4 linked regions of the Notamacropus eugenii genome follow. The protein of the gene in region 4 interacts with the protein of the main gene of each other region in a pairwise test. Links are inferred from orthologs where the notes say so. Each region holds a gene or a part of one and is shown on either strand. Other genes may lie near its edges. The genes, in order: TRIM42, GEM, SYT6 and KCTD9.

Region 1 (7,695 bases), on a different chromosome or scaffold from region 4:
TTTAAGTATAGAATTGATAAATGGTTTCTGAAGTCTCTGTAGCCTTGTTGTTTATTTGTTCATATTTGTATCTTGACTTCCCAGCGAGATTAGGAATCATATCTTCTTTCTCAGAAGGAGTAACCTTCTGAGTGAAGGGGTAGGTATTGTATGCAATTTGGCTACTTGGTGCTGGCTTCCAAATTTATGTTTGTTTATGAGGGGAGGGCAGGGGAAGGGAGGGGAGGAAAGTGGAGGGAAGTGGAGGGAAGGGAAGGGAAGGGAAGGGAAGGGAAGGGAAGGGAAGGGAAGGGAAGGGAAAGGAAGGGAAGGGAAGGGAGAGAAGGAGACAGTAAAACTCAGTTCAACTGGGCAGCTTTTGGCCATCCAAATTTACCTTAGTTTGGAGAGGAGGTTAGGGGAGAGAGAGGCAGACAGGAGAGAAGGAGGTGAGGTACCCAGCTAGCATTCAGCCAGCTGCATCTACTCACAGGATCGTGTTAGTCCTTCATTGCTAAGAAGACCATACCATCAGAAAATGATGACATGACTTGCACTTGACTTTGTTTTGAGTGAGGGAGGGCTGTGCAGGTCACCAGCCCCACTTCTTTTCCACAGCCATGTCAGTCCAATGACCTGATGTTCTTCAGGATTACTGGAGATGGCCCAGGATGCACTGGGAGACCTTGGGCCGTTTTAGGCCAAGGTCTTTGCAGGCACTCACTTAGGGTGAGGCAATCCCCATTCATTGAATAGGCCTGTTTAAGAAGTAGCCAGGGCATGGCCCTTTTAATGAGGTCAAGAAAAATAAAGACATCAGGTTGGGTGGGAAACAGCAACAGTTACTACTGATAATGACTGTGAAGCTGGGGGGGCTCCAGAAGCCCTTGGCAAGGGCTCTTTGGAGTCCCAGTTTCAGGGTGTAGTAGGTTTAAGGTTTTGGGAGAAGACAGAGGAAGGGAAGGGAAGGGAAGAGAAGAGAAGGGAAGGGGGAGGGGAGGGGAAAGGGCAGAGGAGGGGGAAAGGAGAGGAGGAGAGGGGAGGGGAAGGAAGAGGAGGGGAGGGGAGGGGAGGGGAGGGGAAGGAAGAGGAGGGGAGGGGAGGGGAGGGGAAGGAAGAGGAGGGGAGGGGCGGGGAGGGGAGGGGAGGGGAGGGGAGGGGAAGGGAAGGGAAAGGAGGGGAAGGGAGGGAAGGAAGCAATAAAACCCAAGTCAACTGGGCAGCTTTTGGCCATCCAAATTTACCTTAGTTTGGAGAGGAGGTTAGGGGAGGGAGAGGCAGACAGGAGAGAAGGAGGTGAGGTGCCCAGCTAGCGTTCATTTGTTTTGAGTGAGGGAGGGCTGTGCAGGTCACCAACCTCACTTCTCCTCCAAAGCCATCTGAGTCCAGTGACCTGATGTTCCTCAGGATTACTAGAGATTGCCCAGGATGCACACAGAAAGAAACTTTGTGGCAAACTGTGCCAAGGTTCAGTACTTTTAAAAATTCTTGGAAAGCGCATTAACCTGGGCTAATCTTAAATATATTCGAATTGGGTCATGTATCTGAGAATCTCTCACAGAAGGGACTACTTGGCTGACCTCAGGTGAATATGCAATCAGGGCGTTTTAAAGGCTTTCAAATGCTGTACAACTTACAACCTAGACCTGGAATGTGCTAATAAGGGACCCTTCAGATGTCTGGAAAACAAAACGAAGCTCATTTCTTCCCTTTGTTTACACTGCCCGGAATGTGTGGGGCTCTCCCGGGTGGAGAGCACTTGACTCAGAATGGGATATGCGAAATGCAGATGCCAAATTAGGGACCTCTGAGGAAACCACTTCCAAAAAGGGCTATCTTAATTTGACCTATAGAGTGCAGTGAATAAAGAACTGAGATAGGAAATCTGTAGATCTGGGATCTCATTTTTGATTGGCTATTGGATAGCCTTGGACAAATAAGCTCACCTTTGAGGACCTCATTTCTTCAGCTGTAAAAAGACAATTGAACCAGTTGATCATCAAGATCCCTTGAAACTCTAGTTCCTAAAATTCTATAGTACATCTTTTAATAGGAAGTTAGGTTAGATAACCTTGCACATCCCTCCTAATTCTGGGATTCTATGAATTGAGGAGGCAGATCCCTTGCATTAAAGTCTTGGCCCAGTTGACTTTTTTTTTTTTTTTTTGGTATTTTACCATATTTTTATCTTTTTTTAAAGTTTATTTATTTTTAATGTTCCACAATCACTACCAAAAAGCTTATATTTTTACCCCCCGCCTACCCTCCACGACTCCCCTCCCTCCCCAAGATGCCATACAATTCTATATATGATGTACGTATACTTTCCTATTGAATATGTTTTCACTACAGTAATGCTATATAGATGAACTAAAATAAATGGAAGAAACCATATAAGAAATCAAAACATAATACACACACGCACACACATATATATACAAACAAGATCTGCTACATTCTACAAATGAATTCCATAGTTCTTTCTCTGAGTGTGGAAGGCGTTTTGCCTTAGAAAATCATTGGGAATTTTTTTTTTAAGTTCTTGAGTTATTATGAAGTTCCAAGTCTACCAGAAAAAACTCTCGCACGCTGTGGTCGTTGCTGTGCACAAATTTCTCCTGGTTCTGCTCCTTTCACTCAGCATCAGATCATATAAGTCTTTCCAGGCCTCTCTGGAGTCTTCTTGTTCCTCATTTCTTATGGCACAAAATTACTCCATTACATTCATACACCACAACTTATTCAGCCATTCCCCAACTGATGGGCATCCCCTTGATTTCCAGTTTTTGGCAACTACAAAGAGTGCTGCTATAAATATTTTTGTACATGTGGGACCCTTTCCTGAGAGACTTCTTGATTCTCCATACTTCTCATATCCTAGATTTTTCTTTGTTGCATTCATATCTCAATATCATCTCTACTTGCAGAAGCAAATATGCAGATAGAAGAATTACCCTGACAAAGATCTGCCTTGGATAGGTAGATCTGTGAATCTTTCCAGTTTTAAGCTTCTATGAGCCTCTTATTCTGAAAAGGATTTGACTATGCATCATACAAGTGATTTAGGTATCCCTTATACAAAAGAGAAAAATTCAATTTCAACAAATATGTATTAATCATTTTCAGACAATTGTAATGGGGTTGATGCAATATGGAAATGAAATAAAATTTTTGCCCCATGGAGTTTAGTAGGGGAATATGAATGAAGAATGTGCAAATGATTGTAACACATAGTGATGATACTTGAGAAGTGCACGCCAACTTGGTTTTCATGGGCGAAGGGAATGGGGAAGAGGGGTGATTATCATTATTGACTAATGAAATCAGGCATCGTTTAAAGCAGAAGAAACAAAAATATTAGCCCAGATCTTGAAAAGCTTTATTTAGAGTTTGTTTTACTCCATTATTACTTAAAAGAAGAGGAAAATCTGAAAAATGCACCTTTTGCTTAGCAGTTGTGATGTTCATACATTATAGACAAAAACTCATCAATTGACTGATGTTCATCAGGATCAGAAGTTCTACATGGAACGACACCAACATTTTTATCAATGTCAGTTCCACCCAAAGTGGAAACACTTGCAAAGCTTTCATTTTTGCCCGGATCAACAGATACAATGTGATGGTACGATTGATTCTGTGGTCCCGTCTATCTTACAGCTAAAAAAAAAAAAAATCATTCTTGGGTTTATAGTTGTAGTTGTTTTTTGCAAAGCCTTGTTAGTAACTCTGTTAGATCTTTTTGAAAGGGCTTGAAGTACCTACCAGGCCATTCCCTCTAGGCTCATGTTGCTGATATTGGGGTTTCCCAGTTACCCATACCTCAGCCTCTCTGGTGGAAGTTTTGGCTCAATAGTTTAACTTGTATTTCTATAGAAAAAGAACAATTAGAGATTCCTTATGTTTTCAATTCATATGGTCTTAGATTCAGAGATGCCATTCTAGTAAAGAGATTCTTAACCTAGGGTCCCTCAACTGCTCCAAGTGTCCCTAGATAGATTTGAGGGGTTCATGAACTTGGAACTTTTAATATTTTGACAACTATCTCAATATAAGTTGTTTTCTTTTATAATCCTATGCATTTTTTCATGAATTTAAAAACATAATTATGAGATAGGCTTCACCAGATTGCCAAAGGAATCCATGAAACAAAAAGGGTTAAGAACCCCTAATCTAGTCCAGCCTCTTCATTTTATAGAAGAGAAAACTGAAGCCCAGGAAACTGAAATGACTTGCTGGTTGCAAGGAGCCAGGATTTGAACCTAGGACCTCAAATTCTAAATTCAACTCTCTTTTCTGCTGAGAGCACAGTTATGGGGAAGCCTAGGCCTTCAGTCCACTAAGTCATAGCCCAGGAAACCCTGTATGGCATCCCCAGATGGTTTACCTGAAGCACAGGCCTAAGTCTGACAAGGAATTAAGCAATCCAAAGCCTAGCCTTCTCAGCTTACATACTACATGGTGACAGCAAAAGATCACCAGTCATTTTATTCACTTCAATCCCACAGACTGGCTGATTGTCCATGGAGAATGTGCCTACAGGCACCTGCAGCCCCACAGTGTGGTGAATTAAAGAGGGGAAAGAGGGATTATGACATAAACAATGAACTCAGTCTTACCTATGAAAATGCCCATCTGTCCCTTGGCATCCTAGTTGTAACAAACAGGTCATGGACTTGAGGAAACCAAGCAGCTGGTCTTTTTAGAGATAGAGTGTGCTATCAAATAGACCTTGGGACTCTGGAAGAGGGTAACATTATGAACCACATGTAGAAGGCAGGGATTTTATAGGAGTCATGGATGAATCAATGTGCCTCTTTTCTCCATGCTGTCCATGGGAGCATATCTTACCCAAGTCACGCATGTGCCTATGCATGAAGTTTCTTCTCACTACAGAAAGGAACTGCACCTGTTGCCCCTGCCCATATGAAGATGATGGGGTATGCCAGTTCTGTCACTGTACCTGTTCAGATGCTCCCAACTGCCACTGGTGCTGCTGCTCCTGCGCCAATGACCCCATCTTCAAGTGCTGCTGTATTTGTCCACCAGGCGCATCTACCTGTCACTGCTATGAGGCCCGCTGCTGCTACAGAGGACCTTTCCCTACTGACTCCCCGTAAGTACTCTAGGAACCCATGCCCAGACTGATGCCCATCATAACCTGCTGAGGCCAACTTCATTTTAGTCAATTCTGCCAGGATTTGTTTAATAAACAACTTCCCTAACAAAGCAGAGACCATCATGACTTCCTTCCCCCCAGCCTCTTGGGAATCATGACCCTTCCTTTCTGTATCACTCACTGGCTAGTGCATGACTTTTCCAGGTCTATCCTCATCCTTCAAGGCCCAGTTCTGATTCCTTCCCCTCTTGGCAGTCTCCCTAGACTATCCAAGTCTACACTGTTCTCTCCTTCAGGAGATACTAAGACTTTAAGTTAACAAAGACCTTAAAGGTTACCTAGTCCAAACTTCTCATTTTACATATGGGGAAATTGAGGCCCAGAAAGATTTAACTGTCTAAGCCTACACTGTTCTCTCCTTTAGGAGATACTCAAGTCTTTCAAGTTAGAAAAAACTTTTAAGGTTACCTAGTTCCAAGCCTTTCATTTTACATACGGGAAACTGATGCCCAGGAAAATTAAAGTGGTTTGTCCAAGGTCATGAAAAGTAGTAAATAGTAAGCAGTAGAGTAGACAATCAAACCCAGGCCCTCTGACTCTAAATCTACCTTTGAAAATGTTGAACCACTCTAGTATACTGCTCATTTCATAGGATCATCAAACTTAGAGGTGAAAGGGACCTTAAAGGTCAAGTTATTTCATCTCATCTTACAGATGAGGAAATTCAGACCCAGAGAAGTTACTATGCTTGCCAAGGTAACACAGTAGTCAGCTAGTCAAGACTTGAACTCAGGATCTCTGATTTCAAAAACTTTGGCATTTTGTCTAATCCTACCAGTGGTTATCAGTAATGCATGCTTTCATCTTGTAATGTTATTTGGGGGTTTTTTTTTGTATATTTATATTTTGTCTCTCCAGCTAGAATACAGGCTACTGGACAGCAAGCATGATGCCTTTGATTTCTTGGTATTCCTTACAGCACATTCCTAGATAATGTCTAGTATGCCAGAAGTACTCAATTAAATAGTGGTTTTAAATTATTTTTATTTAAAATTAATTTGAAAATTTTTTAATCTGAAAATTTAATCTATCCTACTTTGTGATGTCTAAAAAAAAACATTAGGCTAAACAACATTGCTGGGAGTAGTTAGTGCCACAGGAACAATGTTAAAATGTTTTAGAGATAGATTCCTGGTTGACCAAAATTTAAATTACAAAAGATTAAAAAAGTTCTTAGAGACATAAAACTCTAGATGTAGGATAAAAAGCCCTGGACAGATGATCTGGGTTTGAGTTACAATTTACGACACTTACTGACCTCGATCAAGATACCTCTCTGTGTTCCAGTTCCTTCATCTTTAAAACTAAGTTTGAACGAGATAAATCCTAAGGTGCTATTATGTTCATCTTCACAACTGTATTACTGACTCAACTTCCCCACCACTTCCCTCTTCCCCACCCCTTGTGTGATTCTCACCTAGGTGATATCTCACCTACATGGAGGTGATCCTTCACCTTTATACCTGTCACTGTCATGTTCACTTTTCAAGTCTCTGTACCTCACACAACTTTATACCTTTTCATTCCTCCATCCACAATACTAGGAAATGGAGTCAACACCATTCATCTCAATGAGGAGAAACCAGTAATTCTGTATATCTACCCTTTTTTCCTCATCCTAGCTAGAAACTTGAAAAGGACAGGTTTTCACAGGAAAGGAAGAAAGAGCACAGAAGACTACCCCCGTTCTGACTGATTCATTGATGCAATCTCTTGGGCCCACCTGGAAACTATTTTCTGAATGACCGTTAAAGACACTGTTGGGCTACTATACACAGGGTGTGTATGGGGAGTTGTGTCTTAAAGGATTGATCCTAAAACCTAACAGCAGAGTTTCTTACATTAGAGTAGGATTTTATTTTTAATATATTAAGAATACTGAGGAGCAACTTTCACTGGGGAACATTATGGGATATGTGTCTAATTGTGTTAAGTGCATAAATCTCTAAATTGCAAGCTGCTTGGTCTTTTCCACCTAGTCCAACATTTTGGACTATTAAGTACTCAATGAATTTTTAAGGCTCTCCAAACATTCATCTTTGCAGATGACCCTGTGCCAAAAATATCACAGGGCCTTCTCAGTGAGACTTCATGGACATTTTTAAAAGAAATTAACACACACAGGAGAAAGAAGAACAAATGTCCTAATTAAGGCATGTAGTTGGATGGGCAACCCTATTGGATTAGTATATCAGTACCTATATCTCATGAAGGCACTCCATGCAGATGAACAATAAACCAGCTTAACTGAATGGGGCAAGCTAGGTGGTATGATAGAGTGCCAGGACTCAAGTCAGGAAGACTCATCTTCCTAAGTTCAAATCTGACCTCAGACACTTAGTAGCTATGTGACCTTGGGCAAGTCACTTAATCATTTCTGTTTGTCCCAGTTCATCTGTAAAATGAACTGGAGAAGGAAATGGCAAACTACTCCAGTATCTTTGCCAAGAAAACCCCCAAATGGGGCCATGAAGTGTCAGACACAACTAAAAATAACTTAACACACAATGGAATGAGAGGAGACGAGATGGAATATA
Region 2 (7,623 bases), on a different chromosome or scaffold from region 4:
ACTGAAATCATCCCTTTAAGAACTGGGGCAGTGAGTGACCAAGGAACTTGGTCCAGAGCCACACAGTTATGGAAAGTGGAAATAGGATTCCATGTCCTTGGGTCTCACCACTAGACCTCACTTCTCTTTTTTGTTTAACCTTGGAATCCAAGCATTCCCATCTCTGGCCAAGATTCAGAAGATTTTGATCTTTGTCAATGGTTATTTTACTCTTTCTGGTCCACAGGGCTTGAACCAGAGACTTGTGACTTTTACATACCAGTTAGTGGCAAGAAGAATTATCTCAGTTCTAAACCCTACTGATAAGTAGCCCAGCTATTATGCTCTGCTTTAATGCTGATGTGGGCCTGTTGACTAGAGACAGTTCAACACTTAACTACCTACCTCCCAATACCTCACAGTCACTGTCCATGCTGTCAGTCACACCTGCAAAGATGTTGGCCAGGGTAGACTTGCCCACACCATGTTCCCCAATCAGCACCACTCGATAGTATGTATTTCCAGACTCAGAGGAAATGACTGAATCTGTGGAGTCAGATGACCAACTTCGCCGGTAATAGTCTTCTGGGTTCATGGAGTATCGGTTGCGGTTGTTGTATGAGTGGGGGTCTTTCTGGACCATCAGGTGCCTCCCATCGGCAGGGATGCTCCAGCGCTGCTGCTGTGCCTGCAGGGCCGTACTGCTTCGGCGCATGGTGACATTGTTCAGAGTCATTGTTGGTTCCTGGGGAGCAAACAGAACACCAGGATTATGTAGTTGGAGTTTCATCCATTTTTTTTTCATGAAATGAGAACTACAAATCCCCAAGAAACAAGGTACCAATGAAACAAACCTGAGCTCTGAGTGGTCCAAGTCTGAATTGCTCAGTCATACTCCTAGGAGTAGGATTTCTCATCTATTTCAGGCAGTGAAACAGCTCTAGGTGTCATTTCTAAGGGAAGGGAAAAGGCACCACGGATGGATCATAGAGGGATGAGTACTCCCCAGATAGGTCATACTTTTAGAATTAGAAAGTCATGTATTCTAAGTCACTGGTTTTACAGAAGAAGAAACTAAGGCACAGAGAAGTCAAGTGATTTTCAGAACCTCTGGCACCAAACCCAGTGCTCTCTCTACCATATTAAGCTGCTTCTTAGCTCCTGAGGGCTAATAATGAGTTGATCCTAAGGATGTCAAAGTCACAAACACACTAAAAAAAAAAAATCCTACTCCCTTTAAATCCACAAGTGAGGGATTCTGAGGAGCAGCAGACCAGGGACCAAGTTATCTTTCCAGCTCATTCTGCACTTAATTGCACTGACCTATCCATCAGCCTGCTTTGCCTTGGTTGGAAACCTACGGCAATGACATCATTGCCCTTCTGCTTGAGCAGTATATACATTGGAACTACCATGTTTAGTCACATTGCTTTGATGCTCTCCAGCTGCTGAGGCTATTATTTTAATGTTTCTCTCTGAGGTTTATGCCTCAACATTGCTGTCTGCTCACTGGCATGCCTTTAAAAAAAATACACCACCCTGATGATCACTATTCTGGCATTAAATGTGCATTCAGTTGCTTCCAAAACTATCAAACATGCCCATGCACATGGCTTTTCACTAAGTCCTGTTGAGATTTCTCATTAATTAAACGAAGTTTTTTAATCTTCTGGAAGCCTCAATCATAGAAAACAGATAGTGAAAAAAAAATGGCCCATTGGGCATCAGAAAGACATGAGGAAGTAATGGATGGTATTTGACTTGAATGACTTCAAATCTCTCTTCTCACACTTCCAAGCTGTGCGACCTTGGAGGAAGTCATTTCTCTGCTCTCGTCTGAATTTCCTCATCTGTAACAAGGGGGGTTGGATTGCCTGAGCTCTAAAATCCCTCCTTAACTATAAAATTTGTAGAATGATCAGCACTCTAACAAGTCCACTACAGCTTCTAGGCTACTGTATTGTAGCTCCCTTCCTCTTTCCTGGAGTTTTGTGAACTCAGATAGTACCTAGAGTGGAGCATTTACATTTTTTCCTCCGCAAAATTCATTCTCGGTAGCAAGAAATACATTGACCAAGAAGTCACTACAGGCGTTATCAGTCTCCAGACAAGCTGATCAAAGACATATAAGAACAGTAAGCCAAAGTGGCAGGGTTTTGTTTGGTTTTGCTTTGTTTTTGCTGGGAGGGGGAGAAACACAAGACATCATCACCATCCGTCTGCCCATCTGCCTTGAAAATTGGTACAAATTAATAGTATCATTCCCCTCTGTCCAAAAAAAGAATTGTCATTATCCTCATCTTAAGTTCTTTTCTCTTTTTTTGAACATTTCGAGCCTGGATCATAGACTCTAAGATCACTTTTCACTACTTAAAAAGTTCAGGTTGGCAGAGGAAGCCGCATTTACTACTCCCCGAGCCGCGTATCCCATGCATCCTCGTCCCATCCATCCGCACCCCTTCACTGCAGAGGGGGCTCTGGCCTCCGATAGATCCCCACGTTCCAGCTTAGCCTCCCAAGAGTGTTCATACATACACACTTACACACACGCTACCTGACTTTTCACAGTCCCTTCCAGTCAAGACAGCCGCGGGATCCTGGGGAATCTCTTCTTCACGCTGGAGCGAGCGAACGAACGAGCAAGCAAGTGAGCGCAGGCTGGTGCGCCGCTCTGCTGGAGTAAACTCCTCTCCTTCCCACTGGCTGACTCTCTCCAGCCGTTGCTCGGCTCCCCCAGGTTTATATTAAGCACATCTGATCAGGCAGGGCTTTTCCGTGACGTCACTGCCCTGGCCACAGAGCAGGCGGCCCCCCGCTGGGAGGAAACGGGTATGCAGAGAAGCCCAAAGTTGCAGACGCTCCCAACGAACACAAAATCAGTTACTTGCAGTCATATGATTTTTCTTCCCCCCTCCCTCTCCAAACCTCCACCCGCTTTTCCAGAGTGCCAGGGAAGCAGATCCTGTGACTTTTTTTTTTTTACAAGGTGAAAACAAGAAAATGGAAAAATACTCCAAGTGTCACTTAATCGTCTTTCCCGGCAATGTACTCGAGAGCTGCCCAGATGAAGGATACACAAAGGCTCGGGGCTGATTTGCAAAGTGGAGCTGGGGCTCCATTCATTCTGCTTTGTCACGACAGCATCGATCAGCCCTAGGTGCTGGAACATCCAGCCTCCGAATCATGAATCTGCAGCCACCTGGAGAAAGGGTGGGAGGAAGAGGGGGATGAGGGGGAAAGAGAAGGGAAACATTTATTTTAGCCGCATCTTCTGATGGAAGTAACAGCCTCGTGTCTCGTTTTACCCCCTCTTCGGCCCAAGAAAAAAAGAGTGGGGACAGCCGGGGAGCTATTCATGATTCTCTGCTCTTTCTGCGGAAAATGAGGAAAAGGGGGAGAAGGGGAGACACAGAGAGCTTCAAAGAGGACGGTTTAGGGAAGGAAACAATGAGATATCCAAACAGATTGTGGTAAATTCCCCTGACCCTCCCTACTTGCCTCTGCCCACCTTACTAGATGACAAACCCCCGAAATCAGTTGCAGGGCATTATAGCGTCAGGGCATTTGATCAGAACCTCAGTCATCATCATCGTCTCTGCAATAATCCCTAGACACATCAATCAGTACTTCAGGCGTGAGGCCAAAGCCATTAGCCAGGGGCAGGAATGACTTCTCCTTCAACCCAAGGCACCTAAGGGATTCCTTTGAATAGTGTGCATGTGATGTCAGTCCTAATCTACAGGCAAATGCACCTAAATTATCCCTTCTTAGAGGACACCTGAATTTCCCCAGATGCCCTATTGGGAGATGACTCAGGACATTTTCAATGTATCATTCTTTTCCTCTAGCTAACTTTGCTCCTGGCTTGGCCAATGAGTTGTAGAAGGAGCCAAAAGGCACTGCAGCTATCTCAGTAGCCAAGTTCAAATGTTCCTCCAATTTAAAGGAAACTACAGTCAATTTTTTTGGTTATCTGTGGGTGATTTATCTGCACTGTGGATTATCCTGAATGACTAGTTGCTGAAGAGAGAAGAGTTATTGAAACACCATTCAAATACATCTTTTCTTCTATCCAACCAGTCATACACATCTATTATAGACCACAGATTCTATTCCAACAGTCCCAAAAGTCCCAAAAGTCACAGAATGTCAGAATTTGGAAAGGACTTCAAGGAGGTATCTAATAGAACCCTGCTTGAGCAGCAATCTGCTGAACCACTTCCCTGGCAAGTGATCACACAGCTTCCACTGAAAGGTCTCCATCAATGAGAACCTCACCACCTTCTAAGGCAGCTTGGTCCACTTCTGAATAGTTCTGATTGAGGGGAGTCCTTCCTTACATGGAGCATAAACTTGCTTTTCTTCATTTTTCACCCAGTGCTACGAGTCGTGGCTCTGGGACTGAACAAAATAAATCTAATCCCTTTTCCATATGCTATTCCTCCAGATAATTTTAAGATATCTCTCAAGCTCCCTCCACAAAGACTTCTCCAGATCAATCAACAAGCATTTATTAAGCATCTACTCTGCATCAGACACCATGCTTGGGGCTGGGGATACAAGAGCAAATATGAAACAATATCTAACTCTCAAGAATCTTAGAAAATATTTTCCATTTCCTTCAACTAACATTTTTATGGCATGGTCTCCAGTTCCCCTCACTTTCTACTTGCCATTCTCTAGACATGCAACCAGACTATCAGTGTCCTTCCTAAAACGTGGCATGCCATAACAGGACACAATATTCCAGATGGTGTCTGATTAAGGCAGAGTACAACAGCAGAACTATCCCATCCTTCATTCTGCACACTATGCTTCTGTTAAGGCAGCTGAAAATCACATTTATTTTTTTGGCTGCCATGTCACACTCTTGACTCATATTGAGTTTGCAGTCACTAAAAGACAATAACTGATTACAGATAACAACTCTGCAGCTACCAGTTCTAACCCATGGACATGGAAAACATTCTTCTAGGCTTCTTTCTCTCACTCCAGACTTCCAATTGTTCTGATGTGGACATCTCCAGATAAATACTAGGTCTGTACCCCAAAGAGAACAAAGAAAAAGTGAAGGGACCTATGTGGACCAAAAAATATTTATAATGATTCTTTTTGTGAGGGCAAAGAATTAGAAATAGAGGGGCTACCCACCAGCTGGGGAATGACTGAACAAATCATGATAAATGATTGTGATGTTCAGTTGTGTCTGACTTCTTCTGACCCTATGGACCATAGCACACCAGATCCTTCTATCCTCCAATATCTCCCAAAGTCTGTCCAAGCTCATGTTCATTGATACTATCTCTCCATCTCATCCTCTGTTGTCCCCTTTTACTTCTTCCTTCAATCTTTTCCAAAACCACGGTCTTTTCCAATTAGTCCTGTCTCCTCATTATGTCACCAAAGTATTTAAGCTTCAGTTTTAGCATTTGTCCTTCCAATAAGCAGCCTGAATTAATTTAAGTGTTATCAGAAATGAAGAGAGATGGTTTCAGAAGAATCTGGGGAACTGATACAAAGTGAAGCAGGACCAGGAGAACATTGCTCATAGTAACAGCAATATTGTCATGATTATTACCTGTAAAAGACTTAGCTACTCTGATTGAGACAATGGAACCAAGACAATTCCAGAGAGTCCATGATTAAAAATACTATTCACCTCCAGAGAGAGAACTGATAAATTCTGAGTGCAGAGTGAAGGGTACTTTTTTCACTTTCTTTATTTTTCTTGCCTTTTATTTTTTTGGGGGGGGATAACTAACATGTAAATATGTTTTGCCTGACTTCATGTGTAAAATTGATATCATATTGCTTGCCTTTTCATTGGGTGGGAAAGGGGAAAAAGGGAGGAAGAGATTTGAAACTCAAAAGTTTTTCTCTCCAGTCATCCTGATGAATATCTGGCTCTGGGGGAGAAGTGAGGCTGGTGACCTGCACAGCCCTCCCTCACTCAAAACAAAGTCAAGTGCAAGTCATGTCATCATTTCTCTGATGGCATGGTCTTTGGCAACAAAGGACGAACACAACAACAGCAACAACAACAACAAAAACAAAAACAAATAAATAAATAAAGGGGGTAAAAGAAAAGCTAATTTGCATATATAAGTCGATAAGAAAACCATCTTCTATGATGAAATCATAAAGTTGGAAGAAGACATTAATGGTCATCTACTCCAACTTTCTGTGCAAAGCAAGTATCCCTTCATAAGTCCCTTCTTCATTAAGACCAATTCCCCATCCACACTTACCTCACCATGCCCCCATACCACAATCCACACACACACTCTTCTGCCAGGAGCAGAGAACACAGAAATATATACTTGTTAAGGGTTGTTCTTTGTGGGGGGTTTTTAAATTTCGCTTGTGAACTAGCTTCACCATCTTCACAGGTTTATTCACTAAAAAGAGAGGGAAAAGCCCCATTCATCTCATAAAGAATTCTTATTTGTGGAGTTTCAATTCAATCCAATTTGACATATTTTTATTGAGCATCTACAATGCTTTAAGGCACAATTCTAGACACAGCCTCCATCCTGATGGCTCCATAACATTCTAACAGAAAATTCCCCCTGTATAGTAATGGAGGTGGAGAAAGGAAGGGAGGGAAGACAGGAAGCAGAGTAAACCTGTGCTTCCCTCTGTAACCCTCCCCTCAAAGGCTCTGTCTTGATGCCAATGATCCGGCTACTCTTTGGGGGCCACTCACGTATCTTCCTCACTGCTCTGACCCACATGGAACTTGAGGGTTCACATTGCTGGCACCTCACCAATTCCCTCACTAGCATTTTGGCTCACAAAACTTCAGGAAATTTTATTTAGACAGTGAGGGGAAAAGAAAGGACTCCTATCTAAGCCCATAAAGAATCAAGAGCCCCTGCTCAGTTTCTTTTTGAGCAACACTTCCAATACACAGCCCAGGGACCCACCCAGCCCTTATGATTCACAGCATTATCCTCTCCTCTCAAGGACAAAATGGAAATTTCTGAAAGCCTTTCAGTTTGGCTCCTGTTTATCATTACAGACATTTCATATGAGTTGCCTTCACATAGTTGATATTCTAAAAAAACTAAACAAAAACAGCCTAATTGCTGTTCCCCATATGAAACATTCCATTTTCTAGCTCCATACCTTTATGTAGGTTGTTTTTCATGCCTACGATGTTCTCCCTCTCGGAATCCCTCACTCCCTTCAGGTTCATCTCTGGTGCTTTATGAGGTCTTTTCTGATCCCCCTTATTATTACTGTACTTCTACCCTGCAAAGAAATTAATGCATATATTTGCATACCTTTTGGGGGGGGAGAAGGACCAGCAACTAGAATTAAATGTCTTGTCCAGAATCATATTAGTAAGTATGTGAGGCTGGATTTGAACTCAGGACCTCCTGACTCCAGGGCCTCAACTCCATCCATTATGCCACCTAGCTGTTCCTGGTAGTTATTTTTCTATATCCCAGTCATATCCCTTCTCCCAGTGGAAAAGAAGATCCCTGAGGGCAAGGACAATTTTTTTTTGTCTTTGTAACTCCTGTGGGTACATAATAGTGTACTCATTTGTTGTTGTTGAGTTGTTTTAGTTGTGTCTGACTCTTTGTGACCCCATTTGGGGTTTTCTTGGCAAAGATATAGGAATGGTTTGCCATTTGG
Region 3 (7,968 bases), on a different chromosome or scaffold from region 4:
GCCTGGGATTTTAATTTCAGCTTCTCTCTCTTACCCCTGTCTCACTCCCTGGCTTGCACCTATCTACTAGCACCGTGTAGACAGACACACTGGTGAGGCCTTGAGAGCTTTCCCCCATTGCTCTACAATGACCCCCATTCCTCCAGGGACTTAGGAGAGGGAAGTGGGGCTTAGGGAGCTGAGATAGACCCCCAGTCTTCCTTTCATCTCTGTAGAATTTCCCGACACCCCCTCCGAGCCAACCCCAGTTCCCCACTGAGAATCTCGGCTACTCGCAGGTGTGGAAGGGCCGACCTCGAATCTCCTCGCTCCCTTCGAGTACCCCCACCTTAAGTCTTATATCCCGCTGTGCTGCCACCCCACCAGATGTTGGAATCTGGACAAAGAATCAACATCTGCAGACCAAGGGCTGCGAGATGGGGGGGGGGGGGTACTGCAGGAAGCTCATCAGGTCCTCAGAAACCCAGGTAAACGCCCCCTCCTACTCTAGACCCAGTACTTCCCCCTCCAGGCTCTGGCACCACAAAGTCCCCCACGGTGACTAGCTTGCCCATAGCCCACTGTCGCGACTCCGCCGAGCCACTGCGGCCGCCGCCGGGCCCCAGCGTAGGGGCTCCGGGCTCGGGACTCACCCGGCTCGGGTTCCCGCTTTGGCTCCGCAGCCTCTCTGGGGCCGGCTCTGGGTGTCGGATCCTGGGGGCTACTGGAACTAAGGCGCCGGGTTCCGAAAGTCAGAGAGGAACCGGCTCAGTCCCCGCACCGGCCCCGAGTCCGAGTGAGTCACGGAGAGAGCGCGAGCGAGTTATAGAGGTGGTGGTGGTAGGGGGTGGGACGGGGACGCGGAGACACCCTTCCCCCTCCTTTTCCCCCGCCCCCCCCACCCCCCCGCGGGGACGGAGAAATAGACCGAGCCAGAAAAAGGCACTGGTACACCAAAACCCGCGATGGAGGCACAGAGTCAACGCAAGTTTCTAGCTACCGTCCGGGGTGGGGGTGGGGGCAGTTGCACCTCCCGGGAGACAGAGATGTAGAAACAGAGACAGAGACACAAAGCTCTCTGCAGCTGGGGAGGTCTGTCATCTCTTCTTCTGACCTTTCCCTGGGTATTTTGCCTTCTCTTTGTGGGAACAGAATCTCCCCATCCTTCAGAGAGAAGAAACTGAGGCACATTGGAGCGCTGTTCCCGAGTTGCAGAGGGTCCCCGAACTAAACCGAAGAGTCTAGCTCTACACTAGGAGCTTTCCGAGTCGCACTCTGAGGGGAAAAAAACAACACCCCCCCTCCCACCAGCCCCACTCCTCAGCACCCTTTTTTCTGACACTGGCAAGATCCGAATCCAGAGCATGGCACTAAGGGAATGGATGGAAAGAAATGTCTGCTCCTTCCTCTTCAATCTAATCTTTGCTCTTAGGGGAGGGAAGGTATGAGAAAAAGAATCTCCGCATTAGGAAGAGGGGTTGTGGCAGGGAAAGTAGGGGAGGGCGAAGGATCGCCCAGTTACCTGTATCTGCAGAACTCGGACTCCGCTCAGGGGGCTGCAGCTCGAAACTCCGACAAGTCTCCAAGTCCAGACCCTGGGGGGGCGGCTGCCCCTGACATAGCGAGGCCAGGATTCCCAGCGCCGCCTGGCACCTCGCCTCCTCGGACCCCCCCACCCTGCTCATGCCCCGGACCCTCCCCCCTTCCCTGTTCAGTGCACTGTGGCTTTAGTCCCGTCCCGCCCAGCTCCCTGCAGCCGTTCCAGGTCCCCAGCTGCTGTCGGGCTGGGGCGGGACAGGGCGGGTCCGCAAGAAGACCCTCCCCCAAACAGCCCCAGGCGAGTCACCGCACTTGCATTTGCCAGTCTAGGCTTTTAACCACTTGTCTACGGGGTCTCCGCCCCTTAGTGAGATACAGACACCACAGAGAAATTCAGTTCCCGCTCGTCAGCACCCTCTTTACGTTTCAGTGTCTGGTCTGGTCCTGGTCGGAGTACTGTGTCATTGGGGAGTGGGTTGGAAAGAGGGAGAGACTGATTGATGCCTTGGAGGCTAAAGAAGTAAAAAAAATAAAGGGTGATTAAGTCCAGGACTAGTAGGATCCTAAGGGCATATCTTAGGAACCCAAGGCTCCCAGGTCTCAAAAAGAACAGAATTGAGGGAGGGGTTCGGGCCGCTGGGCGAAGGAAGTTGGTTAAACTTGCAGTATTTTTTTTTAATAAGAGGGAAATCTATCCTCACCCCAGGACTGTGGAGCGAGGAGAGGGACTGGGGTTCAGGGGCTTTTAGAACCCCGCAATCCGCTGGTCGCGTCACCCACTCGTTGCCATGGCGACAGAAGGCATCGGCTGTCTCTCTCCATGGCAACGAGAGGGAAAAGTTTCAGGAGAAATGGGCCGGGGGGGGGGGGGGGGGCGGGAAGAGACGACACTTCACCGGGTCGTCCTTTTTCAAGTCCGTCCCCCTCCCTCAGGATCGAATCGCACCTCATTTCCCACGTATCTTCGGGAAGCTTCACCATAAAGATGGAAACAGACCGAAAATATTACGGTAGGGCTTGAGGTTAGACAAAACGAAGAACTTCCCCACACAGTGAAGTGAGAGATTAAGCACCAGTTGAACGAATCTAGGACGTTTCCATCCATCTAACCCCTTCCCCTCTTTCTGGAGATAAATCTCTCAGCTCTGGAGAGATCTACTCTGCGGCTGCCTGACGGTGTGGGTTAGGGGAGGAGCTACTTTGTTCAGAGACAGGGGCATGGATGAGACGGTGCGAATCTCTTCTTCAACAGAGTACGATCCATTTTCTCGGAGTGGAAGCGAGGTCCTGTGCCTGGCATTTTAGCCATGGTCTTCACTTCCTTTCTTAGCGGTTGAAAGTCATTCTTTGGCGGTAGCCTCCGGAAGCCACGGGTTGGCTTGTTCCCGGGCTGGTTGTGGGAGGAGGGTCTTTACTTCTAATTAACACACTAATTGGAAGTGGCTCGGGCTGTGACTCACGTTCCGGAGCTTTGAGATTCTCGGCGAGGGCTTTTGGCGGTAACAACAGCACGCGCCATCTGTGAACCCCTTCATCCCCCACCCCACCCCCCACCCCAGGCAGACCCTTTTGAAATGTAGCTCTCCTCTGACTTTCCCCCACCCCCCCCCCATCAGAGTCCCCCATTTCCCAGCTGGCTATGCAGTCCCATCCTAGGGGGAAATAGTTGGGTTGCAAGGACCAGAGAAAAAGGCTTCATCTAGCTTTTAAGGTTTCTTGGTCCTCATCCCATTGGGGCCCCACCTCTGTCCAAGGTGCTGATGATCTCTCTCTCTCTCTCTCTCTCTCTCTCTCTCTCTCTCTCTCTCTCTCTCTCTCTCTCTCGCTCTCTCGCTCTCTCGCTCTCTTTCTCTCTGTGTGTGTGTGTGTGTCTCAGAACAGCATGGAGTTGAGTTCATAATGTGATTTGACTAGCTAGGTACGTGATAATTGGGAAGGGACTACCTTTCTGCCTTGGTCCTTAGGTATGGGTGACAGTGGCTGCGTGGGGTGGGGGGGTGTTGGAGGGTGAGGAAGGATGCGGAGGGAATTGAGAAACTAAAGAAAGGAGATTATGCTGCAGGAAGATAGTCAACTCTAACATACCCTGAAATCAGGGAAGTCTTCTTTCCTGGAGGGGAGATCTGGTGGCATTTTACTGTTTAAAGTCAGACAAGGCCGTGTGTGTGTGTGTGTGTGTGTGTGTGTGTGTGTGTGTGTGTTCGATATCTGGGAGTGTGACCCATGTCTCTAAGGCCCAACTAAGGTGTTAAGAGAGCTTATTTGTATCTCCTCCACTTCCAAATGCTAGCAATCCAGAGACAAGGATTCAGATGCTCACCGAGGTCTATCTTCCCTACTCTCCCCCCCACCCCCATCCCAGCAAACTGCTCATTAGCTTCTTCAGGAATGGAGTATCAGTATTTATGTATTTATGTAAAATAGCCATAGAGAGTAGTTCAGCTCGTGTTTATAGCAATGCTACTATTCTCAGATTTCTCCTCCCCTTCCCCAGTTACAGGGGAAATTGGAAGAACAAAGCTCTTGTTTTGTTTTTCCAGAGAGTGAAACAACACAGGACCACACCAACAGCCAAGGCCTGTGATGCAGGGAAATCAATATTTTGCTTACAACTAGTCAGGGAATTTGCATCTAAACAGAAGGCTAAGGAGCCTTTTTGGAGCAGAGAAGGCGGCAGGAGCCACAGAGAGCAGAGAATTAAGAGAAAATTTTTCATTGTTCCTGGATTCATCCCCCACACCAGGCAGCTGGGACCTGCAGTGTCTCCTGCGGTCACAGCAGCAGCCAGGACCTGGTAATTCTCAGCTTAAATGGGAAAAAACATTTGCCCTGACACTGCTGTAGGAAGACTCAAAGCTCTGATGCTCCTGTGGTCATGTCAATAGCTATTGAATTTGGGATATGTGTGTGTGTGTGTGTGTGTGTGTGTGTGTTTGTGTGTGTGTGATAAAGAGATGGAGACAGGCAAAGATCTCTGAAACAGAAACAGAGAGTTTGTGAGATAATTCCTGAGCACATTTTAAAAGTCTGTGACTACAGTAACCATAATTTTGTCAGGATGACCAGATCGCATGGATTGTGAAAGAAACTGTGATTTTTGTCAGCATACGGACCTTCCAGTGTGTCAACCTTTCACTGAGACAGATTAAAATCAATCGGTGACTTAGTAGAGTCTTGGGAGTGGGGTGGGGCAGGGATGGAGTTGCTTGTCCCCTGACCCACACCCACCTACTCTGGGAGAATTGGGAGATGGGATGGGAGGAGGGGAAAAGGAATAGAAAGATAAAGGGGTAAGGGGAGATTGAAGGCTACTTAATAGTTACTTACACTGGTCTAGAAGCAGCAGAATGGATATCTCAGAGCTGGGAGCACTGCTCTCCTTGTGCCTGTTTTCTTTCTCTCTCTCAACTAATCTGTAAATTGTTCACAATCTCTTGTGGGTGAACCTTTCTGAGCCTCAGATTCTCACAGAGCAGATACTGAAAAGTCAAACCAGCTCAGACATACTTCTGGGAAATCAGCAGAACCTCTAAAGGCTCAGGTCACTGTGTCCCACCATGGGGGAGAGGGGAGCCCAAAGTGCAGAGCTCTTTCCCTCTCCTCCCCCACCTTTAATCCCAGGCCCTGGGGGTGATTCCCTGACATCCTGCTGGGCACAGAACCATCCTGTATTATCCTGTTAAGTTTTGCCAAAATAAAATAATATATATTTTTTCAAATGGAGCCCAGGTAGATAATCGCTGCTGTGGTGGGTGGGAAGAACAGTTTCTTTGACATGAGCTGATGTGTCATATTGTCTTTCTCTCTCAATGTGATTTATAAATAGGGAGCCCTTACCCCCCTCCCTCTCTCCCCTCTAAGCCCCCAGCACAGAGTTAAAAGAAACAGTCTGATGTTGGTACCTGGGATTGTCTAACACACACACACACACGCACGCATGCATGCATTCATGCACGCACATACACAAGCATATACACACACCGTTGAATTACAGTGCTCTAACCTGAACCAAAGGGAAGTCTTGACTTGCCCTGTGTAGCTTTTAGGCCCCCATCCACCCCTATACCCTTGTGGTGTCACACATTCCAGTCACCTGGAGGTCACTTCTGCCAAGGCTTTTTTTTTTTTCCTTTGAGAAAACATGTGGTAGTGGGAAATGGGCTCTTAATGGTGGCAGATTCAAGTCTGTACATGTTATTAATGGCAGTAGAAATGGTTTTGGTGTCCTTTTCTATTATGTTTCAACATTTGAGCCCTAAAATCAGCATATAGCTCTCAGGGCACAGGTGGAGGTTCTCAACTCTGCTTGAAAGAATATCTTTTCTCTATGCCAGCCCCATCCAATGCCCTCTACAAAACAGACTTAACAAATCCCCATAATCCAGGCTTCAAAGTGGGGTTTTCAGGGACCCCTCTCACCTCTAGATAAAGTACAAAGGATTCTTAGAAGGTCACAGAGTTAGCCTGGGGAATCTAGCTCTGGCTCCCTTCCATGAAGGGTCCCCAGTTCTCAACCCACACTTAATCACATTTGCCTCTCATTTCAGATGAGATCTGAATCCTCTGAGGTTTTGGTTTCTTGCCAGGCCAGCTACAGCCTGGAGATCCAGAGCCTTCCTCAGGGAACAATGAGAAAGGATCAGAAGACAAATTTTACATACATCATGGTCTTGCCTGTGGCTGGCCTTGACCCTGTCTATTCCCTTGATTTGGGTTGATTTGTTTATTTGAGTTTTCTTTAAGAACTCACATCTATATAATATTTTATGATTCCAAATCACTTTATATATATTTTCTCATGAGATTCTCATAATATCCCTATGTGGCAGATAGTGAAAGAAATTATTATCCCTACCTTATAGGTTAGAAAACTGAGACTGAGAGAGGTCAATATTCCCATTTACAGATAAGCAAATGGAAGCTAAGAAGGGGGAAGTGATTAGTCCGATGAGGCAAAGGTAGGAACTGGCCAAGTCAGGGCTTAAATATAGACTTTAGGATTCTCAAAGTACACTTTGTAAGTGCCAACACTCAAACACAGATCTTCTGCCTCTGAATCCTGTATTCTTTCCAATATATTACATAACCTCTCTTAATCTCAGTGATGGATGGCACCATTCATGTGAAAGAAGGCTGGTAGCCAGATCCAAGGGGGTCCTTGCAGCCATGGTCCTGCAGTTCAGAGAAAGTGGACAGTTGGTGACCTTGTTCTTGAATGAGTCTTCTCCTGTTGGACTGAAGTCCAAGAGGGTAGAGTCAGGAGTTGGGGCAGGTATTTCTGGGCTGCTTCACATAGTCAATGTAACCAGTTTCCTGGAAAGGGCCAAGATGAGATTCTTGTAACAACAAGGCCTCAAAGACTGGAATTTTCCCTAAGGAGCAGGGAGAGAGTTTGCAATGTCAGGACTCTGGCTGCTCTGCTAATGAAAATAAACCAGATAAAATGCCAGAGCTAATTAAAGTGACAAATCTGGAAAGGCCCTGTCAAACTGAGGAAGTCTTAATCTTTGATTTCAGCAGAATTTAGGCAGTTCTGATGAAGCAGGCTTCTGATTGGTGGCCTAATGGACCTTGGAGGTAAAGGAGAGCTGGATCCCCTGGAAAGAGCAAATCTGTCTAGCCAGTCAATCTTCCCTGATTGTTCAAGGGTGAAGAACAAATGACTTCTCACCACCCAATCCCCAAACTTCCTTTGCATGAGACGTAAGCTCCTTGAGTTCCAAAATCCACTGACTTTGAGATGGGCAAAGGGACTGTGGAATAGTCAGCCAAAAACATTGATTTAGCACATCTGTTACGTAGGACCTTATCTCAGGGACTGGAAGAAATAGAATATGTGACTTTTGTCACTTAGAACTCGAAATGAATTACTGATCTGGGGAGTTGACATGTATCAAATAAATAAATGAGCAAACTAGAAGAGTATAATATAGCGCTAGTTTCAGAGGCTCTTTTTTGACTCACAGGCCCTGGGTACACTTTTGAGATTTATATATGTATGTGTGTGTGTGTGTGTGTGTGTGTGTGTGTGTGTGTGTGTGTGTAATAAATACAAGCATAGACATTGATAGATATAGATATATAAATAACATAATATTTTATTTGATATATCAAGTAATAATATAACATGTTATATCTGATATGATAAATATGTTATATTTATAAACGTAAGTATATGCACATTACAAATTTATTTATAAATATATATGTAAATAAATATAAACATATATGTACACCTAATAGTTTTTACAAAATGATAGAACTTGAGAACTTCAATAAGTGTGGTCATGAGTTTCCCTTACAAGTACTTAGACACACAAGCTTCAAAATATAGAACAGTTTTATTTATACCATAAAGGTCATAGAAACAGCATGCATTTGAATACAAGAGAGTCAAATGACATCTTCTTTTCCACTGAACCATTTTTCCCAAAGAGACTTATGTGTTCC
Region 4 (7,181 bases):
GAAACTGAGGCTAACATAGGATCGTGGGAGTAGCGCAGGAAGGGGCCGTAGAGATCGCCTAGTCTAATAATCCCTTCATTTACAGATGAGGAAACTGAGGCGGGGGAGGGGAAGGGACTTGGCAAGGTCAAGGTAATATAAATAGGATCCTACTGATAAGGTTGGGGTGTTGTGCCCGAAAGTACTCACACCCCCAGGTCCTGCTAGAATGAGTTCGACTCCAGACTTCTTAAAACCAAAGTTTATTAAAGATTCGCCACCTTGGGTTGCCTCTTAAGGAGCCTAAGCATTTGTAACGCTTGCACTCACCAGGGGGCCGGATAGAATCTCAGCTAGACGAAGTCTGAGCTGGATGGAATCTGAGTGCCTTCATGGAGGCGAGATGGAATTTATATACAGAAAGTCCGTGGGAAAGATCTAGAGGGGGTCTAGGGGTCTCCTAGGAGGGTCTAAGGAGGATCTTGATGGGATTGGGGTAACTAATGTTGTGATCCAGGGTGGGAAACAGCTGGAAGCCAATTCTGGATGGGATGTAGGTGGGGCTATCGAGAGGTAACCGACAATGGAAGGCCAGGCTAGGCCTAGGGCAACAGATTTGAGTATGAAAGGCCAGATTAAGTGGGAAGATTCAGGGGGAGTTCAAGGAAGTTCCCAGAGTCTGAACCTCATCTTTAGGATTGTAGATGTAAGACTGGAAGGGGTCTGACTCCATGTAGCCCACCCCTCTCATTTTATAGATGAGGAAACTGAGACTCATGGAGATGAAAACTAGCTTACCCAACAAATATAAACTTCTGGCAATTAAAAACCCTTCCCAACATAGCTAGTTTTCCAGGCATATTACATAGAAGTCCTTTTCACCTGTTCCATGGTTCCTGCTCTGTCCCTCTTAGGATCTTAGATGTAGAGCTCAAAGGGACTCATCTAGTGAAAGGGTAAAGTTTAATCATCCTCCCCTCCCCCCCCTTTCCCAATTTGGTAGGTAAGGACACAGATCCAGGCAGGTTAAGTACTATCTCCCCTTCTCATTACTCCACTTCTCATCTGTGCCTTTGCCTTGACCACCCTCCACATCCAAAATGCCCTCCCTCCTCACCTCTTAGAAACTCTCTTCCTTTAAGACTTTGCTCCAGGGCCGCCAGTTCTGTCTTGACTTTTCCTTACTCCTCCAGCCTCCTCCTCCAAAATCACCTTGTCTGTTTTGTATGTTACTGTGTTTTGGATATTTGCATACACATATATGTCTATACACATAGTATCTTCCCTCTCCTGTAATTTAGAGAGTTGTCTGGGGCCTTGGGAGATTAAAGACTTCTGGGATGGTTGATACTTTGGGCCTGACTGGTGATACAAAGACAAAAAATGGAAACCTCTCTGCACTTACAGAGCTTCTTTTCCTCTGTGGAAACAATGAATCCACTTTTAAGCATTTACAAAGTAAGGGAAAAGTCTTGGGGGAGGGGGAGGTGGGCGTGTCTCGGGGAAGAGAGGCCTATATATGTTTGCATTCCCTGGAGAGGCTTCTATTTCTTGGTGTCATATTTGAGATAAAGAGGGCCAGAGAGAGATAAGTACTGTAGTTTGGCCAGGATCCTTGGACTCTCGTCCTCTCGATTCCCAGGCAGGTAGTCCTCTCTTTCTACGGAGCAACCACCTGGCTCCTCTTGATTCCCAAGTTCAGTGCCTGAGTGGCCTGAGTTTATTTGGATGGAGTATGACAGGATCTCAGGTCCAGACCCAGACACTGCTTAGTTGCAAATCACTGGAAAGATTTCTGGTTTTGGAGTCAAATGGGTTAAATCCTGCCTCTGCCACTACTTTGTTTTTCTTTAGTCATTAGTCTCTTCTTGACCCCACTTGGAGTTTTCCTGGCAAAGATACTGGAGTGCTTTGCTACTTCCTTCTCCAGCTCATTTTACAGATGAGGAAACTGAGGCAAACAGGGCCAAGTGACTTGCCCTGTGGTAAATGTGTGAGACTGAATTTGAACTCAGGTCCTCCTGACTCCAGGCCCAGTGTTTTATCCACTGCACAACTGAGCTGGTTTTGGCATATCACTGTCATCTGAAAATGTATGGGTTTGGACCTCAATGACCTTCTAAGGCTCCTAGATTCGTGAGCCTCACCTCAATCATTTCACCATTCATGTTCCTGCTCTGTAAAACACTGATATTATGTGCACTGAGAAGGGATAGTAGAGGCTAGGGCCCTCAGCTTGAGAAAGATTTCCACTTCAGTTTCTTCAGATAATGTCTGTTTTCTGGGCTAGTCACTAAAGCGCCCTGTGCCCCCTGAGAACTGTCTACGGTAGCTAATCTGCCTTGGGGGATGGAATTTTCTCCTATTGTATTCCCTACAGCCACAAAATCTCTGGCCTGAACCTGGGAAATCCACCTACCTTTGAAGCAACTCTCAAAATTTTGCAAGCCCTATGCAAATGTGAACTGGGTTGAGTGTCATCCTGTGCCTGAGGGTTACAACAGGGAGTATAACTTTCTGGCTGGAAGGTAGGGGGAGGGGGAGCACGTCTAGATGAATGTACTGCGATCCAGATGCTGCATGCTCACAAACACCTTGGGCGCATTGTGCTGTTATATCTCCATTTTACAGGTGGGAAAACTGAAGTAGAGAGAGGTGAAGTAACTTCCCAGCATCACACAGCTAGTAAACTACCAAGACCAGATTTGGATTTAGTTCTTGCTGACTCCAGGTCCAGAGTTCCATGCACTGTGTGGCCAGCTGCCTTCCCAGGATATTGGGTGTTGTCTAATTCACATTTTGCTTTTACACGCTGGGAGAACTGAGAGGTGAAGTGACTTGCTTAGGGTCACACCTGTAGTTCCAGTTGCAGAGCTAGGATGCTGAGCCCCAATCCAGTATTCTTTCCAGATTATTATTGGCAAAGGCAGTGGAGGCCCAGGGCATTCTCAGAAAGAGAATCTGGCTGTGAGCTTCCAAATAGAGGAAAGCCTCAGGACCATAGGATGTGGATGCAGTGGGAAGAGTCCTTATTGATCTTCTAGGGTTAGGGTTTCCATATTTATCTGTCACTAAACTGCCAAGCTGGCCAGAGTTTGGCTTGGTTTGTCAGTAGCTGAGGGGGTATCATTACTGATGAGATAGAGGTCTCTTTGGGTCTGGCTTGGGGCCCACAGCATGAAGCAACAGGGAGGGCAGAGAGCCACAAGCTGTTTGGGACGCAAGGTCTGAATCACTGTTGTTGGTAGACTCTTCTTAAGATTTTTCTTTAGCTCCCTCCCCTAACAAACCAAAGTTAATGTGATTCTTTTATAGTTTTTTTTGTCGTTAGATTTTTTAAAAACTTGGAGTGTGTGTAAGTTCAATTCAACCTAAAATCAGATCGCAGCCCCTGGCATTTCTTAAATTCCTTATAGATTCTGCTATTCTACTGAGGCCCAGGGGGATACCAAGAGAGGCTAAAGACCATCCTGCCCTCTAGGGGCTCACTTTCTAATGCTGGAGACGATATGTAAATATCTAGGTTTATCCTAGAGTCAATGCAGAGTAGATAAACATAATGCCAAAGACTGGCACAGGACGGCTCAGCATGGTGGGCCCACATCAGAAAGGGTGCTGTGCTCTATGAGCAAAACAGAGTTTAGACAGCACAAAGGAAATGTAAGATGCCCAAATTTGTGGTATTCACCCCAAATGACATGGACTGTCTGTGCCTAATATGTAGTAATTCTGAGCTCGTATTGGTTTGATCAACTGCAGTAGGACACACTGAAATTTGACTTAATCATAGTGATGTCATTTTTGTCCTCTTTGAGAACGAAGGACAACAACCAACCAAGCATCTGGGTTTATCCTGGAGTCGATGCAGAGTAGATAAAGGTAACACCAAAGACTGGAAAAGGCCTCCTGCTTCAAGTGGGTTTTGAGCCAGTCCTGAAGGAAGCATTCCAAGCTGGGGCACAGCCCGTGCAAAGGCTCTGAGTTGGGAGATGGAGCATATGAAGAATTGCAGCAAGGCTCCTGTAGCTGGATTGTCAAGTGCTTAGAGAGGATTGAGGAGCCAGGAACCGCCAGAGTTCATGGCCGGAGATGAGGCCTGACCTGTGATTGGTGGAAGGCTAGACTGGAGTGGGCAGAGATGAGGCACAGAGATTGGTTAGAGTGCTGTTGCTGTGGGCCTGGCTGCAGGTGATGAGGACCTTCACCTGGGGGAAGGAGACACAGCAGGGATGTTGTAAAGAGGAGGTTTTTACTGACAAGACTGGGCACATTATTGAAACCAAACGTTTGAGTCAGACACAGTATGTAAGTATCACCGTGAAGCTTAAATCCTGTTGGAGGGAAGAGGGCTGGGGGTGTGGGGGAAGAAATCTTTGGCTTGTTTGGTTGTCATCTTCTCCCCAATTAACTGTTTGTGCCCCTTGTCAAGGTGTGACATCTAACATTTATTTTTCCCCCAAACCTCTACTATCCATCGCTAGAAACTGTTGGTCTTTGGGAGGAATATTTGTTTAATAATACATTTGTTAGGTCCCTGAATGGCAGAAAGGAGAAACTGGATTATTAGACGTTGTCCATGTATGGCCAGGAAACATTTCTAAAACCAGGGGTGTTTTACACCTGGTTAACAGATTGATTTAGAACCATCCTTTGTAGGGGAAATGCATTCAGCATTTGAACCACAACTTGTTTCATTGACTATAAAGCTGTTTTGCTTCCTCCTTGAGCTGATATTACTATCTAGTGTAATTCAAAGACCAGGATTATGGGTTTTAATGAAAGTTCTTTGATTTTCATAAATATTAAACCTACACATAGTTAAAAAGTTAAGTTCTCTCTTTGAACCTGACTTTTCTTTTTGTCCACATAAGTCAATCTTTTTCAGTGTTCAAATTTACCTTCATGTTGCTGTTTCCAAATACAAGTATAAAACCAAACTAACAATGAGGTGGGTTTTTTTTTTCAAGGTCATTGTTCATCATTTCCTAGAGTATGGGAATGAAATGTCTCGTTGAAGACAATTCTGTGCCACTTTCATTTGGCCTAAAGTTTTCATCCTCTTTGACCTTCTTTTTGCAGATGCCTTTTCCTATTATTCAAAATATAGAACTATTGTATTGTCACTGGAAAAAAATGACTTAGTACATCCAGAACCACAAAACATTTTTGTCCCTAGAAACAGGCCTCAGATCAACCTTTTACTTATCTAACATCTCTGGTATGTTACTGCTGGTGAAATGCCAACTGGCTAGGCAAAATCCAAGGCCTGATCGTGGAGACTTTAACTATATTCTTCATTTCCGTGGAATCACAGAGGTTTTGTTTGTTTGTTTTTAAGTTTTTAAATGCCAAAATTGAGGCATTGTCTGCATATATTTGTTCAAGGGTGTTGATTTTCTTTTAAAAGGTCATGAAGCTTTGGAGATTTTGGATTAAGAATAAAAACTTATTTAATTTTTTTCACTTTTTCAGAGAATTTTAGGAAAGTAATTAGCATTTCTCAAGTTTTGTAGTAGAATATTTCCAGATGTGGCTAAATTTATTCCAGAGGGATTACGCTAGTAAAAGGTGGAGACAATTGATATTGCAACAGAGCCTCAGAAATAAATCACACTACAAACCTTAAGTAACCTTTTTGTGTAAAATACCTTAAGATTTCTTCTATCAGAAAAACTATTTTTGAAAAATTTTCTTTTCATTTAAAAAATAGTTAGCAATATGGAAATGTTTTATATGACTGCACATGTATAATCTATATTAAACTGCTTGCCTTCTCAAGGAAGGGGAAGGGCAAGAATTTGGAACTCAAAATTTTAAAAAATCAATGTAAAAATATTTTGCTACATGTAACTAAAAATATATATAAATTAAATGAAAAAAAAAGAGAAATGATTGGCAAATGAAAGTTACAGGTTCTTTTTTTTTTTTAATGAGACCAAAAACTACCTAGCTTTGTTTTGTAGATCCGGGTGACATTTGTGTGAGCATGTTTTTGGTCCAGCGAAGAACTCTATCTCCCTCCCCCCCCCCCAGCCTTTCGCTCATCCTAACTCAAAGGTGAAACCATCTTTTTAGTCACCCTGACTCAAATCTGAGGTGTCATCCTTGACTCTTTACTTTCATTTCCTATATCCAGTCTATTGCCAAGTGCTGTCAGTATTATATACTTCCCCCTTGTCTCCTCTACTACTTGCCCCCACCCTGGTACAGCCCTCATCACACCTCACATCTCATCTATCTGGTTGGTCTCACTTTTTCAAATCTCCCCACATGAATCCCTGCTCCACTCACCTGTGATCTTCCTAAAACTCAGGTCTGACCATGTCACTGCCCTACATGATAAACTTCTGTGACTCCTCTCACCTTCACGATCAAATATAAAACCAGTCCTTTATAACCTGATCCTCTCCAACCTTTCTAGTCATTTTACACCTTACACCTTGACGTGGGCCCTTTAATCCAATGACTGTCTCTTCGTGGCGCTTCCATGAACAATCCATCTCTTGGCTCTGGGCATTCTCATGGAAGGGGAGGGCTGGACTGCCCTCCTTCCTCATCTCCTCCTCCTAACTCCTTTCCAGCTAAAATCCCACCCTCAGAAAGTCTCCCCTTGATGCCAGTGCCTTCCCTTTGTTGCTTACCTTCAGTTTGTCCTAGATTTATCTTGTTTGTGCAGTTATTGGCATGTTCCGAGCTTCTCTAGGGCAAGGAATGACTTCTGCCTTTCTTTGTATCCCCAGCTCTTAGCACAATGCAAGCTTGGCACATAGTGGGCATTTTATAAGTGTTTATTGACTGACCTATGATTTTATTTGTGTGTGGAACTCCCCTTTTGGAAACTCCACCCACTGGTGCAGATTGACCACTTTGGGGTGACTCACAGCTTTAAAAACGTTACATGGGGCATTGAAAAATTTGCCCATGGCTATCTAGCCTGTGTGCATCAGAAGTAGATTTGAATCCAACTCTCTGCCTCCAAGACTGCCACTCTGTGGTGCCTCTAGATATTTAAATATTGCTTTACAATCACTTTACATACTGTGACTTGTGATCCTCTGTGGATTCCTGTGAAGTAATAGTGTGCATTTTATCCCTATTTGACTTAGGAGGAGACTGAAAATTCAGAGGTTAACCAGGCCGTGTGCCATTTATCATTCTGTCACACAGCCCTGAATGTCATGTGGGGCTCCGGCCTGACTCAT

What was found.
Region 1: the proteins of KCTD9 (region 4) and TRIM42 interact in binary tests that used the Homo sapiens proteins (3 or more experiments, as listed by UniProt). The two-hybrid records come from large-scale screens. The link is inferred for Notamacropus eugenii from reciprocal best matches to the Homo sapiens genes KCTD9 and TRIM42.
Region 2: the proteins of KCTD9 (region 4) and GEM interact in binary tests that used the Homo sapiens proteins (3 or more experiments, as listed by UniProt). The two-hybrid records come from large-scale screens. The link is inferred for Notamacropus eugenii from reciprocal best matches to the Homo sapiens genes KCTD9 and GEM.
Region 3: the proteins of KCTD9 (region 4) and SYT6 interact in binary tests that used the Homo sapiens proteins (3 or more experiments, as listed by UniProt). The two-hybrid records come from large-scale screens. The link is inferred for Notamacropus eugenii from reciprocal best matches to the Homo sapiens genes KCTD9 and SYT6.

What each region holds. Positions count from the first base shown.
Region 1 is NC_092876.1:325,567,348-325,575,042, reverse strand, and holds the start of TRIM42 (tripartite motif-containing protein 42), read left to right. Parts: upstream 1-4,645; 5' UTR 4,646-4,775; coding exon of another isoform or gene 4,776-4,905; coding exon 4,906-5,095; intron 5,096-7,695.
Region 2 is NC_092875.1:158,863,760-158,871,382, reverse strand, and holds the start of GEM (GTP-binding protein GEM), read right to left. Parts: upstream 3,179-7,623; 5' UTR 2,534-3,178; exon of another isoform or gene 2,523-2,533; intron 933-2,522; 5' UTR 897-932; coding exon 834-896; intron 725-833; coding exon 385-724; intron 1-384. UniProt on the Homo sapiens protein: Could be a regulatory protein, possibly participating in receptor-mediated signal transduction at the plasma membrane. Has guanine nucleotide-binding activity but undetectable intrinsic GTPase activity.
Region 3 is NC_092873.1:293,290,207-293,298,174, forward strand, and holds the start of SYT6 (synaptotagmin-6), read right to left. Parts: upstream 3,045-7,968; 5' UTR 2,465-3,044; intron 2,298-2,464; exon of another isoform or gene 2,220-2,297; intron 2,031-2,219; 5' UTR 1,665-2,030; coding exon 1,502-1,664; intron 815-1,501; exon of another isoform or gene 633-814; intron 1-632.
Region 4 is NC_092872.1:743,224,042-743,231,222, reverse strand, and holds the start of KCTD9 (BTB/POZ domain-containing protein KCTD9), read left to right. Parts: upstream 1-4,097; 5' UTR 4,098-4,170; coding exon 4,171-4,284; intron 4,285-7,181. UniProt on the Homo sapiens protein: Substrate-specific adapter of a BCR (BTB-CUL3-RBX1) E3 ubiquitin-protein ligase complex, which mediates the ubiquitination of target proteins, leading to their degradation by the proteasome.